Caenorhabditis elegans: one gene and its partners. The protein of the gene in region 2 purifies or fractionates together with the protein of the main gene of each other region. This does not show direct contact. Each region holds a gene or a part of one and is shown on either strand. Other genes may lie near its edges. The genes, in order: suox-1, F41G3.6 and trx-4.

What was found.
Region 1: the proteins of F41G3.6 (region 2) and suox-1 fractionate together in Caenorhabditis elegans (co-fractionation; one large-scale study listed by BioGRID). This does not show direct contact.
Region 3: the proteins of F41G3.6 (region 2) and trx-4 fractionate together in Caenorhabditis elegans (co-fractionation; one large-scale study listed by BioGRID). This does not show direct contact.

What each region holds. Positions count from the first base shown.
Region 1 is NC_003284.9:15,495,873-15,499,628, reverse strand, and holds the start of suox-1 (sulfite oxidase), read right to left. Parts: upstream 2,075-3,756; 5' UTR 2,074-2,074; coding exon 1,962-2,073; intron 1,915-1,961; coding exon 1,718-1,914; intron 1,288-1,717; coding exon 1,108-1,287; intron 1,023-1,107; coding exon of another isoform or gene 975-1,022; exon of another isoform or gene 899-974; coding exon 737-898; intron 682-736; coding exon 457-681; intron 410-456; coding exon 199-409; intron 128-198; coding exon 37-127; intron 1-36. Other genes in the region: gob-1 (Trehalose-phosphatase), read right to left, coding at 2,686-2,835, 3,415-3,557, 3,604-3,756.
Region 2 is NC_003280.10:6,741,041-6,744,796, reverse strand, and holds F41G3.6 (DUF2013 domain-containing protein), read right to left. Parts: upstream 1,884-3,756; 5' UTR 1,878-1,883; coding exon 1,847-1,877; intron 1,801-1,846; coding exon 1,648-1,800; intron 1,604-1,647; coding exon 1,459-1,603; intron 1,415-1,458; coding exon 1,275-1,414; intron 1,225-1,274; coding exon 1,087-1,224; intron 1,034-1,086; coding exon 891-1,033; intron 845-890; coding exon 704-844; 3' UTR 530-703; downstream 1-529. Other genes in the region: ins-15 (INSulin related), read left to right, coding at 67-174, 222-458; exos-8 (Ribosomal RNA-processing protein 43), read right to left, coding at 2,035-2,100, 2,151-2,480, 2,531-2,707, 2,753-2,896, 2,945-3,061; T14B4.1 (tRNA/rRNA methyltransferase SpoU type domain-containing protein), read right to left, coding at 3,401-3,574, 3,625-3,756.
Region 3 is NC_003279.8:3,317,463-3,320,725, forward strand, and holds trx-4 (Thioredoxin), read right to left. Parts: upstream 1,123-3,263; 5' UTR 1,114-1,122; coding exon 1,022-1,113; intron 825-1,021; coding exon 593-824; 3' UTR 516-592; downstream 1-515. Other genes in the region: cdap-2 (SH3 domain-containing protein), read right to left, coding at 2,391-2,560.

The DNA of each region.
Region 1 (3,756 bases), on a different chromosome or scaffold from region 2:
TGGATGGTTTGTAGGTTCTGGAGATTTATTACTAACCTATAATCTTTTTGCTGCCAATGACTATCACTTTCCTTCTCACTAACAATAATTTTTCTGAGCCATTTCACTTGTCGAGCACCAACATTACCTGAATGACTTCTTTTATTAACGATTATCAGAAAAAATTTTTTAAATAAAAGTATGTTAAAACCGTTGTACCTGGCACAATGACCCGCAGAGGAGCTCCGTGATCCCTCGGAATATCAACTCCATTCATGTGATAAGCGACAATGACTTCATCTCCACGAGCCTTTTCAATGGGAATTGATGCTCCGTAGGGTGTTCCAGTCGGATCAACATCTGCTCCTTCAAAGTGGACGTGCTTGATCTTGTCGTCGAAAACGTCGATTCCTGCGTCAGCGAGAAGATCCTTGAATTTTATTAATTAATATCTCATATTTTAAAATTCAAATTTACTCTCAAGCGAACTCCAGTCCATTCGGCATTACTGATTGCAGTTCCTTCCCACATCAGTCCTTGAACTTTCTTATACTGATTCATATCGGCTCTTCTATTTCCAGCACATTGAATCACACTTCCAATTGTATATGACTTGTACTTCTTCTTGAGCTCCTCTACAGACAAATCCACTGTTTTTCCTTTGATGGTTTCCACAGTCAATCGATGGTTTTCAGTTTTGATCTAAAAAAAAATCCAGCGTAAAACTTCACTACACACACAACCCCTTTTCACATACATCAGGAACCGGAAGATGATTTCGTACAAAGAACAGTTCATTGGGTGTGTAGAAGTGGTCGGTAAGCAGGGAAGGAGGGGTTTCGGCATTGAAGGGCTTCGAGTTACGCACGAGTAAAGCTGGATGACGTTCCGGATCATTGGAGAATGCGTCAGCGACTGGCTGTAAAACAAACACAAACATAGGTGAGATAAGAGGATAAATTGATCAATATTTTGGGTGCGTTTGTACCCGGACCCTAATTAAAATCAACCAAACTCACATTACTTAAATCTTCAAAATCAATCTAAACAAAAAAATTTGTTACCAGAATTTCATAAATCACACAATAAAGGATTGTATGCCACCTCTTTTCTACTCCATGAACTTACTTTCGGAACATCTTTTACATCAAGTTTGCCAATTCGATATCCTTCGAGAATCTCGAGAACCTCTTTTGTCTTGTGCTGTGAGTAGAGAGCCCAAAATGGGTCGACAGCTGCACCGGCGGCAAGCAGAATTTTGTCACCTCCCGGATGCATGGCAATGAAATCTGTGACATCATAGACACCCTGTAAAAATAAGAAAACTATTAATTCCAGTTTATAAACAAGCATCAATTTGGAAATACGCATATATGTAGTTTGAAATGTTCTAAGCGTTCGAAAAAAGTCCTTAAAAACCTGTAACCAAGTCACAAAACTACATTTTGTCCAGTCAGCCAAAACTGGACAGTTGAATAATTGAAATTAGGGCTCCCATGTGGGTGCCGCTTTCACGCCGCAATTCAAATTTTCAAAGCGATGCGCGGAACCCACAAAATGTCGGACGCGGAGTTTGCACCAAACAGTGGCATAGAGTATGACACTATTTGTAGCAAAGTTGACTCCACGTCCGACGCTTTTTGGGTTCCGCGCATCGCTATAAAGGTTTCGGATTGTGGCGTGAGAGGGGTGTTTTCGGGGACGACATAAGAGTCCTAATTGAAAATAATCAACTTACATCTTTGTACGTAACCCAAATCCTGTCTGCGTCTTTTCCATGTTTCTTGACCTCCTCCTGCTTGTATATCTGAAGATTCTCCAATTTCTTCTCTGACATCGTCTCATCTTTGGCGTGATCAAGCTTTGCAGTTTTCACAAAGTGTTTGAATCCGAGCACTCCAGCAGTTGCGGCTCCTCCAATATATGCATACTTGTCTAAACATTAGTTAATAGATTTTCAAGTTTTCGTGGTAGATCCCTACAATAAGAGTGATTTTCATTAGTCCTCTGATGTTCTGAAGTGGCGCCCGAAAGTTTGTTGAACTGACGCCGGTGTCTAAAAAACCGATTGAAAGATGTGCCCCGGCCAAGCATTCTGAAAAAATTTGCAAAATCTTTGAAACTTATTAGTTTAAAATATCAAGATTGCCGAAAAACAAACAATACTTTGAAAAATAAAATATCTTTTTTAGAAATTGAATTTTGAAAAAAAATTGAAACAAAAAAAACTACGAAGTTCACAAACACATTGAAAAGTGGACTGAATCAGGGGGGAAAAAGAAAGCAAAACCCGACTAGTTTTATTAAACAATTATTCGAATATGAGGAATTTTTGGTGAATGAGGGTACAATAAAAACATGCTAATAAAACCGATTTCTATAAAACAATAACTGAATTATTTGGTATTTTTACAGTTCTAATCAATTGAAGTTTGAGGGAAGAACGAAAAATGGAATATCAGAAAAAAAAAACGTCACGTGGCAGAAACTGAGAAGAGGAACAGTGAGAGAGAGCAGAGGTCGTAGAGAAAACGAGAGAGAGAGACAGGTTTCGTCGCCTTTGCTGACCATTGACCAGCGGTCATTGATTGCAAGTTACGATGGGTGGTTGAACATTTGAGAAACAACAAGTTGTCGTTGTTCTCTACCTCTCTACCACTCTAATATTTAATAGTTAATGGTTGGGAAACAATCCAATTTCATTTTTCATCCAGAGAACTCTGAAATAATTTGGGCGAACGCAGCGTGAGCAACATCTGGTGAAGAGATGAAGCAGACTCGTTTGGCGTCTCCAACAATATTTGTGATGTTCTCTTGAAGCTGCTTGTTGATATTGACAAACAAGGCTCGAACGTTCTGGAAAAAATAAGTTTTCAAGAAATTTATCTGATGTGTTTAGCATTTTAGCATTATTTCAAATACAAGTTTAATTTAATAAGAGAAATGTTTACTAGCGTGTCTACGAGGTTATTCCAGCTCACGCGGCTCACGTGGAGTCAGGCTCTCCCATCACAATTTTATCTACTAAAAAGTGCGGGATTTTTTTTTGCCAAAAAATGTGACGTCATCATGTTCTAAACAATGTAAAATCAGAGTTGAGAACTCTGCGTCTTAAAACCCGCGTTTTTCGTAGATCTAAGTAGATCAAACCGAATTGGGACATTATGACACCACGTGCAAGCTATTAAGAAGCTATCAGTTCATGAAAATGCCTACTTCGCAAAAATAGCGATAGCACAGAGAACATGCGATGACCAGTGGTTTAGGTGCCTTCGCAACGAGATATTCCCGCGCCAAAACGGTAGGCATTCTCGCGATCTTATGATTTCTTAATATGTATGATGTTGTCCACTGTTGTTTTATTGATAGCGAAAAATATTCAAAAGTATGCTAATAGTGGTTCAATTGACATACTATCTCAATTCAAAATCTTACCTCTGGATTCTCGTCTGCTGCTTTTTTCAACATCGGAACATCACTCGCGGTGTCCCCTGCGACACAAACTTTTCCAACCTTCAACGAGTCGTGGAGTGATTCCACTAAAGCAGCAACTCCATCTCCCTTGTTCCAAACAGCTCCTGTAATTCGAAAATCATCATCATAAATTTCAAAATTGAGCATTACCTGACGAATGAACGCATACTTCAATTTCTAACGGTGAACAATTTTCTAATACTAAATATTGACTGTTGGGATCAACTCGATGGATTCGTTCACGAACTGCATCAATGTATCTAGCTGAGAGGTCTTCTGGAACTTGCTTGAAAACCGTTTGAA
Region 2 (3,756 bases):
AGAGCTATTTTGTTCATTTACATTTCTTTTCTTGCCCAAAAACAAATGTAAATTAATTTTCAGATAATGAAGCTTCTTCCTCTCATTGTGGTTTTTGCTCTTTTGGCAGTCATATCAGAATCATATTCTGGAAATGACTTCCAACCTCGTGACAATAAACATCATTCCTATCGTGTGAGTCATTCTGAATAAGTTGCATTTTTGTAAATGAATAATTTCAGTCATGTGGGGAATCGTTGAGCCGACGAGTTGCATTTCTGTGTAATGGTGGAGCTATTCAAACAGAAATACTAAGAGCTCTGGATTGTTGTTCCACTGGTTGTACGGACAAACAGATCTTTTCTTGGTGTGATTTTCGTAAGTTAACAAGGAAGGAGAAACAGAATTATTCAGGTTTAATTTTCAGAAATTTGAACAGGACACAAATAGTTTCTTTTCTACTTTGCCATGTTGAATAAAAACATTGTTTCATAACATTTTCCCATTCTTTCATTAACATTGGCTAGCCCACTCAGAATTCAGAACTTTTCACAGAAATTTATTTCAAATTGGCAATAGCAGTAAAATGCGCAATGATAACTGGCAAAATAGTCATGGGATTATGAGTGAATGGATGAAAAGGATACCGTTCAAAATATAGCACACGAAATGATTGAAAGCCGGATGGGAGAAATAAGTACATAAATAATATGAAATTAGTGCCCTATCTTTTAAGATTGAACACCTCATTGACCAAATTGCTGAGCTCATCTTTCTGGTGCAATTCTGGAACTTGTTCGTGCGCGTCAGACGTCAAATCGAGAATGATCATTTTCACTTGCTTGCAGTACATTTGATCGCCCAGCTACAAAAAATATTATTGTTGATCAAGAATTTAAGTTATAATATACCTTAAACTCTGGAAGATTAGCGACAACTTCAGATCTCTGGCATAAACACATCAGAATTTCAACTGTCAGTCTCATTACAAGTGGCTCATCCTCTGTGATGCTCCACAGCGTGCGAACAGCGTCCGCCATTGTTGCAATGTCGTCTGGAGCGAAAATACAAAAACTTTAATGATGAATTCTTAACATTATATCTTACTTGAAAGTTGGAAGAAAATTGCAGCGAGAGCATCGATTAAATCATAACGTGATCCCGACGAATAGATACGACGAACAAATTTCTGGGCATCTGGAGATGCGGCGACTTCGTCAGAATCACTGAAGACGCGAAGAATAGCTGAAATTAGTTTTGATTTTGGAAATCTACAAGTGATAAAACAATATTACCAAACAGGACATTGGCTCTCTCATCGATTGAAAGTTGGTCCAGGGAGCATTGTGAGAGATATCGTAGCAAAAGACAGGTCTGTGTGATTCCGACACCTGTGTTCCAGTCGCCACCTCGAGGATCAGTTGGGAGAGTGGGTCTGTAACTTAGAAACTGCGAAGTTTATACTTAAATTATTCTTACTTGTCGCGAATGGAAACCGCCTCTCCTCGTGGGACCAGTTGTGATGGATGGCACCGAATTGCTGTTCCGAGCCAGGCAATAATATCATCATGTGTCACTTCTAGAGACAGCTCTCCGGCAAGTCGAACCATCGTTGTGTACATAGCTGAGAATGTATTTTTTAACTTAATTTCAATGAAATAATATTACCAATTGCAAGATCATTATCCGGGTGACAGAGAAGCCACATTCCGACGTGACTATCGGAATCAAGTTCGAGATTTGCTTCTTTTCTCTTCTTGTGTTCTTCGTCTCGAGCTTGTTGATAAACCATGATGTCCCTGCTCTCTGTGAAGAGTCCCTCTGCAATAAAAAAACTTTGAATCTAAAAACTTCATATCAAACGCACTGTTTCTATTGAAAGTTCCAAAGTATCGCATTTCGATCTGAAATGGAGAATTAAAATTTGAAAAAAATGCCAAAAAATGAGATACGATTCGATCGAACGAATTGGTGGATCCAAACAATATGAAAATCGATCGAGAAACAACAATTTATAACAGAAAACATATTTAAACGAGCAACAAAATTAAATAATCAAACAACGTTTTGAAGAGACTCCACGAATTTGTGTCGGCGTTCGGCGGTAATTTGACACATTTTCTGAATATGAATTAAGTTAGTGATCGTAAAACTACATAACAATAAAATACCTTTAAAAGGGAGAAAGAAGAAAACTGTCCTCGTTCACGAACCATAACCATGTGATCATCTTTTCCAACAATTACAGAACAAGTTGCTCGACACACTGATATTGCTTCTAATGTTGGAGACAAGAGGAGAACTTCAGACTTTTTGTCTGAATTAACGTCAACGAAAATACCGAATGAACAGCACATCAAAGGTTCTTCGAGCGTCAATCGATGCATTGTTCGGTAATCTGCTTGAATTTGTGTTTTTTCAATTGTCGATTCGTCGCCCTCGGAATGGTTTAATACAATCGACGGGAGCTTTGCATCTACAAGAGCGGCACCGAGAGCGCACTGAAAAATTTTAAAATTATGTTTAAAAAAACAAAATCTTTTGTAAATACCACAGCTGCATCCAAAAAGTTTCCCTCGAGACTGAGCACTTTAACAATGATATGAAGTTGCCATTCCAGAGGCAAAGGTTTGCCACAGACATCCAAACATCGCAAATTTTCGCGTCGAACGAAACAATTATTTGTGAATAACGAAAGCAAGACACTGTTGCAGTCCTCTGCGTCTTTCTATAATTTATATGAATACAAGTAAATAAATGTTCAGTAGCTAACCTCTGATAGCTGCTGAGAACCTTCAATTTTGATATCCACCAGGGGTGCATCACTAACGAGTGAAACTGAAGCTTGAATTGAACACGAAACAGTCACTCCTTGGGTACTGACGACAGATGAACCAACACCGCCACATTCTCCTTGCTGAAAAATTGAAAAGTTTACATAGAATTGAATCGTGAGAAAAATTACCTTAAAAACAAGTTTTTGTTCATCAAGAAGACCACGTCCGTCAGGATAGACTCCTTCTTTGATAAAAGTTGCAAAGTATCCACGTGGATCAATGCCTCGAAGTACTTCTGATGACATTGTTGATTAGCCAATTCTTCTTATTTTACCGGCAAAATCAACGCGCTGCAAAAAACAAATTCTTTATAAGAAATAAAGTTAGGTGTGCACTAGGGCGAGTTTGCTTGGGAGACCTCGCAACAATTTTCGCAGACACCGGAGAATTGAATCCACAAAATCTCCGATCGTAGAACGGCAAAAAATAAGAGTTTCTTTTTTCTTGGAGAAATATATGGTGAAAACTCAACGCTTTTTATTTTTATTCAACACACCATCTAATTATTATTAATTTTATTGTTCAAGAACGAGCAAAAAAGAAAGTTAACAACAAAAACAACAACTTTAACAAGGGAAGTTTATTTAATTTTTATCAAATCTGACTTGTTCGGCAAATTTAGCAATCATAAGCGCCGCCGTGACGTGCACATTCAAACTTCGAGTATGCCCAACTTGTTTGATTTCCACAGTTTGATCAACTGCGCGTAGTAGATTCACCGGAACTCCTTCTTTTTCATCGCCCATAACAATCACAGCCTGAAAATAAAACATTATTTATTCGTTTTTCTTAAAATACAGCTTAATACCTTCTTTGGGAATACAAAATCATGCATCATCACACTATCAGTCGTCTGTTCAGCTGCGATCACTGTGTATCCGTTGGCTCGAAGATTTTGAAGATATGGGAGCAAGTTTGTTCGTTTAACCCCTTCGATTTT
Region 3 (3,263 bases), on a different chromosome or scaffold from region 2:
CAGTAGTCATTTAAAGAATTACTGTAGTTTTCGCTTCGAAATATTTTGCTCGTCAAAAGCATATGTTGAAAAGAAAGACGCATTCTCAGAGTTTTCCGTTTCCGTAATATGAAATAACCAACAAATACCTATTAAAAGAAAAAGAAAACTCGACAATTCCAAAAAATTAAAAAATACATTTCGCGCGGCGAGACCCAATATGTTTGCTGGATTTCTTTCATAACTTTACTTGCTTCTGTATGCGCCTTTGAGGTAACGGCAGTTCTCTTTTGAAAATTGGGATGAGCTTGGGCACAATTCAATATTTAACCGATTTTGTGAGAAAAAAAACAATTCTCGATATTTAAGAGATATATACGAAGAAAATTCCTTTTTGAAAAAAAAATGCGAAAAGCTCAAAGTCAGTCGACTGCAATGTCAACCGGATGTCGTGGGTCCGCCAGTCATACCTTTTCGGAGTTCAGGCCGAAAACATCAATGACGTAATAATACATGTTTTCAAAAAATAAATAATTCAAATAATACTGTTTATTCGTTCAGAACTCTTAATCTTCAGAGAAAATATAATGTAAGATGTTTAAAAGTGTGAAAATCATTGAAGAGCTGCCTTGACCATTTCCTCGAACTTTGTATTGTTCGCTCCACTGAACTGATCCTTCTTGATTCCGTCGACAATCAGAAGGAAGGTGGGCATCGAGTTGATCTCATATTCTTCACCGACACCGTCACACTCGTCCACATCAATTTTAAGGATCGATAGGCGATCCTTGTGCTCGGCGGCCAGCTCCTCCACACGTGGCTTGATCATTTGGCACGGACCGCACCTGGAATCGTGTATTTTGAGAATTTAATTTCATGAAAGTTTTAATTTGAAACTGTAAAAGGCATTTTTTAGAATTTACGTTTCTATCAAAAACTCAAGTTTCGAAATCCAAACTATCCTGATGAAAGGCTTCAAATAGTCGTGGCCTAGAAATTTCGATTAAGAAAATTCTCAGCCATGTGCATAAATCCAACCTACCATGAAGCCGTGAAAAATAGAATCACTGGCTGGGTTTTCTTCTCGGCAAAAATTGTCTTGAATTCGTCATCGTCCTTGATTGCGATAGACATTTCGGTTATCTGAAATAAAAAAAAAATAATTTGGAATTTTTTAATTTTAAATTCGTCTTTTGCTCAATACGCATTCGCAGAATTTTAGCGTTCGCGTAATAATTCCCGGAAACTCTATACTATTAGAGACTACAATTTAACAGTTAGTATTAAAAAATATTCGGTTTGGTTTCAGAATTTAGAAATATTTAAAATTCACCGCAAGAAAACATTAACGGTTAATGTAGAAGTTCAATTAATTGAAAAACATTGCAAAAATTTGAATAAAATTTACGTTAATCAACACATAATAATAAAAATAAAAATCACAATAACATTTATAGTATGTGTGTGTGTGGCCGAGAAGAAATGAAATAAAGAAACAATAAACCATTATAAAAAATTTTTAAAAACGGGTGACCAAGAGATACATCTTTAGGTCCTGCTGACTGGCCAAATGTGGGGGAGAGGAGTGGGGGAAGAGAAGAACGCCGTTTTGAGCAACAATGTGTGAAAAAAAAGAAAAAGCGAGAAAATGAAGCGGATGTGAAATACTTGGTCTCGACGCGACAAATTTTTTCAAGAGGATGTGCGCCTTTAAACATGATGCAGCGACTCGAAAAAAAGTGTAATTTTTGAAGAATTTATATTTACAATTTTTCTAGATTTTTTTCTCACAATCAATTTTACGACGCAATTTTCAATTACCAAATTATTTTTGAATTCCCCGAATTTTTTGATTTGAAACACAAAATTTCAGACCTTTTTTTCGGAAAAAATCGACTTTTAAGCCGAAAAAACGTCTGAAAATTCGAAAAATTGTGTTTCAAATCAAATATCCGAGAAAATATGAAGAAAACCCATTCAAATTTGTTTGCAAGGGGATTTAAAAATAATTCGAATTTTTGCCTTAAAATTGCAAAAATAAACATTAAAAATTTAGAAAAATTCTAAAAATTTTACAAGTGAATTTGATATTTTGGGGCTGTTTTCTAGCATTTCTGGCAAAATTTGAAACAAAAATTTGTCGCGTCGAGACTCCGTGGTACTGTAATTTTAGCACAAAAAATCGCAAAAATTGTATAATATTTGGAGCAATGATAAGTGAATCAATACAAACGAATCGGGGGTGTGGGTTGAATGAGAATTTCCAAAAAAAAAAACAAAGGATCACAGGACAATTTGATACTCTCTCTTTATATGCTTCGAGAATCTATATTGCACTGGGTGAATGGGGAAGAGAGAGAAGAGATGGGGGGCACAATTTACACGAATAATTGGATGAATGAGGAAAATGGCTAGAATCGAATCTTTTCAATGGCGAGAACTCGTGATTCCAGAGCACGGAATCTATCGAGAAGGGCATCGTATTCGGCACGGCTGACATAGTCTGATGGCGGAAGATTTGGCGATTTTTGACTATCTGGAGATGCCAATTTTCTGATTGCAGAGGTGGAGGAAGTGGAATCTGGAAGATGGACGATTTTTGTAATTTTTGGCAATTTGCCGGAATTGAAAATTTTCGGCAAATCGACTAATTCCCGGATTTGAGAATCTCCGGCATATAGATAAATTGCCGGAATTGAAAATTTCCGGCAATTTGCCAAAACAGAAAATTTTCGACTTCCGGCAAATCGGCAAAATTGCCGGAATTGACAACTTCCGGCAAATCGGCAAATTACCGGAGTTGAAAATTTCCGGCAACTCGACTAATTGCCGGAATTGTCAACTTCCGGTAAATCGGCAAATTGCCGGATTTGAGAATTTCCGGCAATTTGCCGAAACGGAAAATTTCCGGAAATTCGAAAAAATACTTGAAAAAAATTTTCATTTGGAATTAAAAAAAGATTTTTTACTGAATTATTTTCATTTTTATTGTATTTTTCTCATTTTTCGAGTTTTTTTTTGCATTGAATTTATGAATTATTTAGTTGTAAAATTAGATTTTAAGAAGTTTTAACTTTTTAAAAAATGTTAATATATTTTCTTTTTTTTTGCATTTTTTTTTTGGAGAAATATTTATTTTTTTTTAGGAATTTCTCTAGGAATTTTAAAAAGTACTTTTTAATATTTTTAAAAACAAAATTCCAAATTTTTTGCAATTTTTTTAATTATACCCTTTTTTAAATAATTTTCACAGGACTTAAAACATTTTTATTTTTTCATTTTTC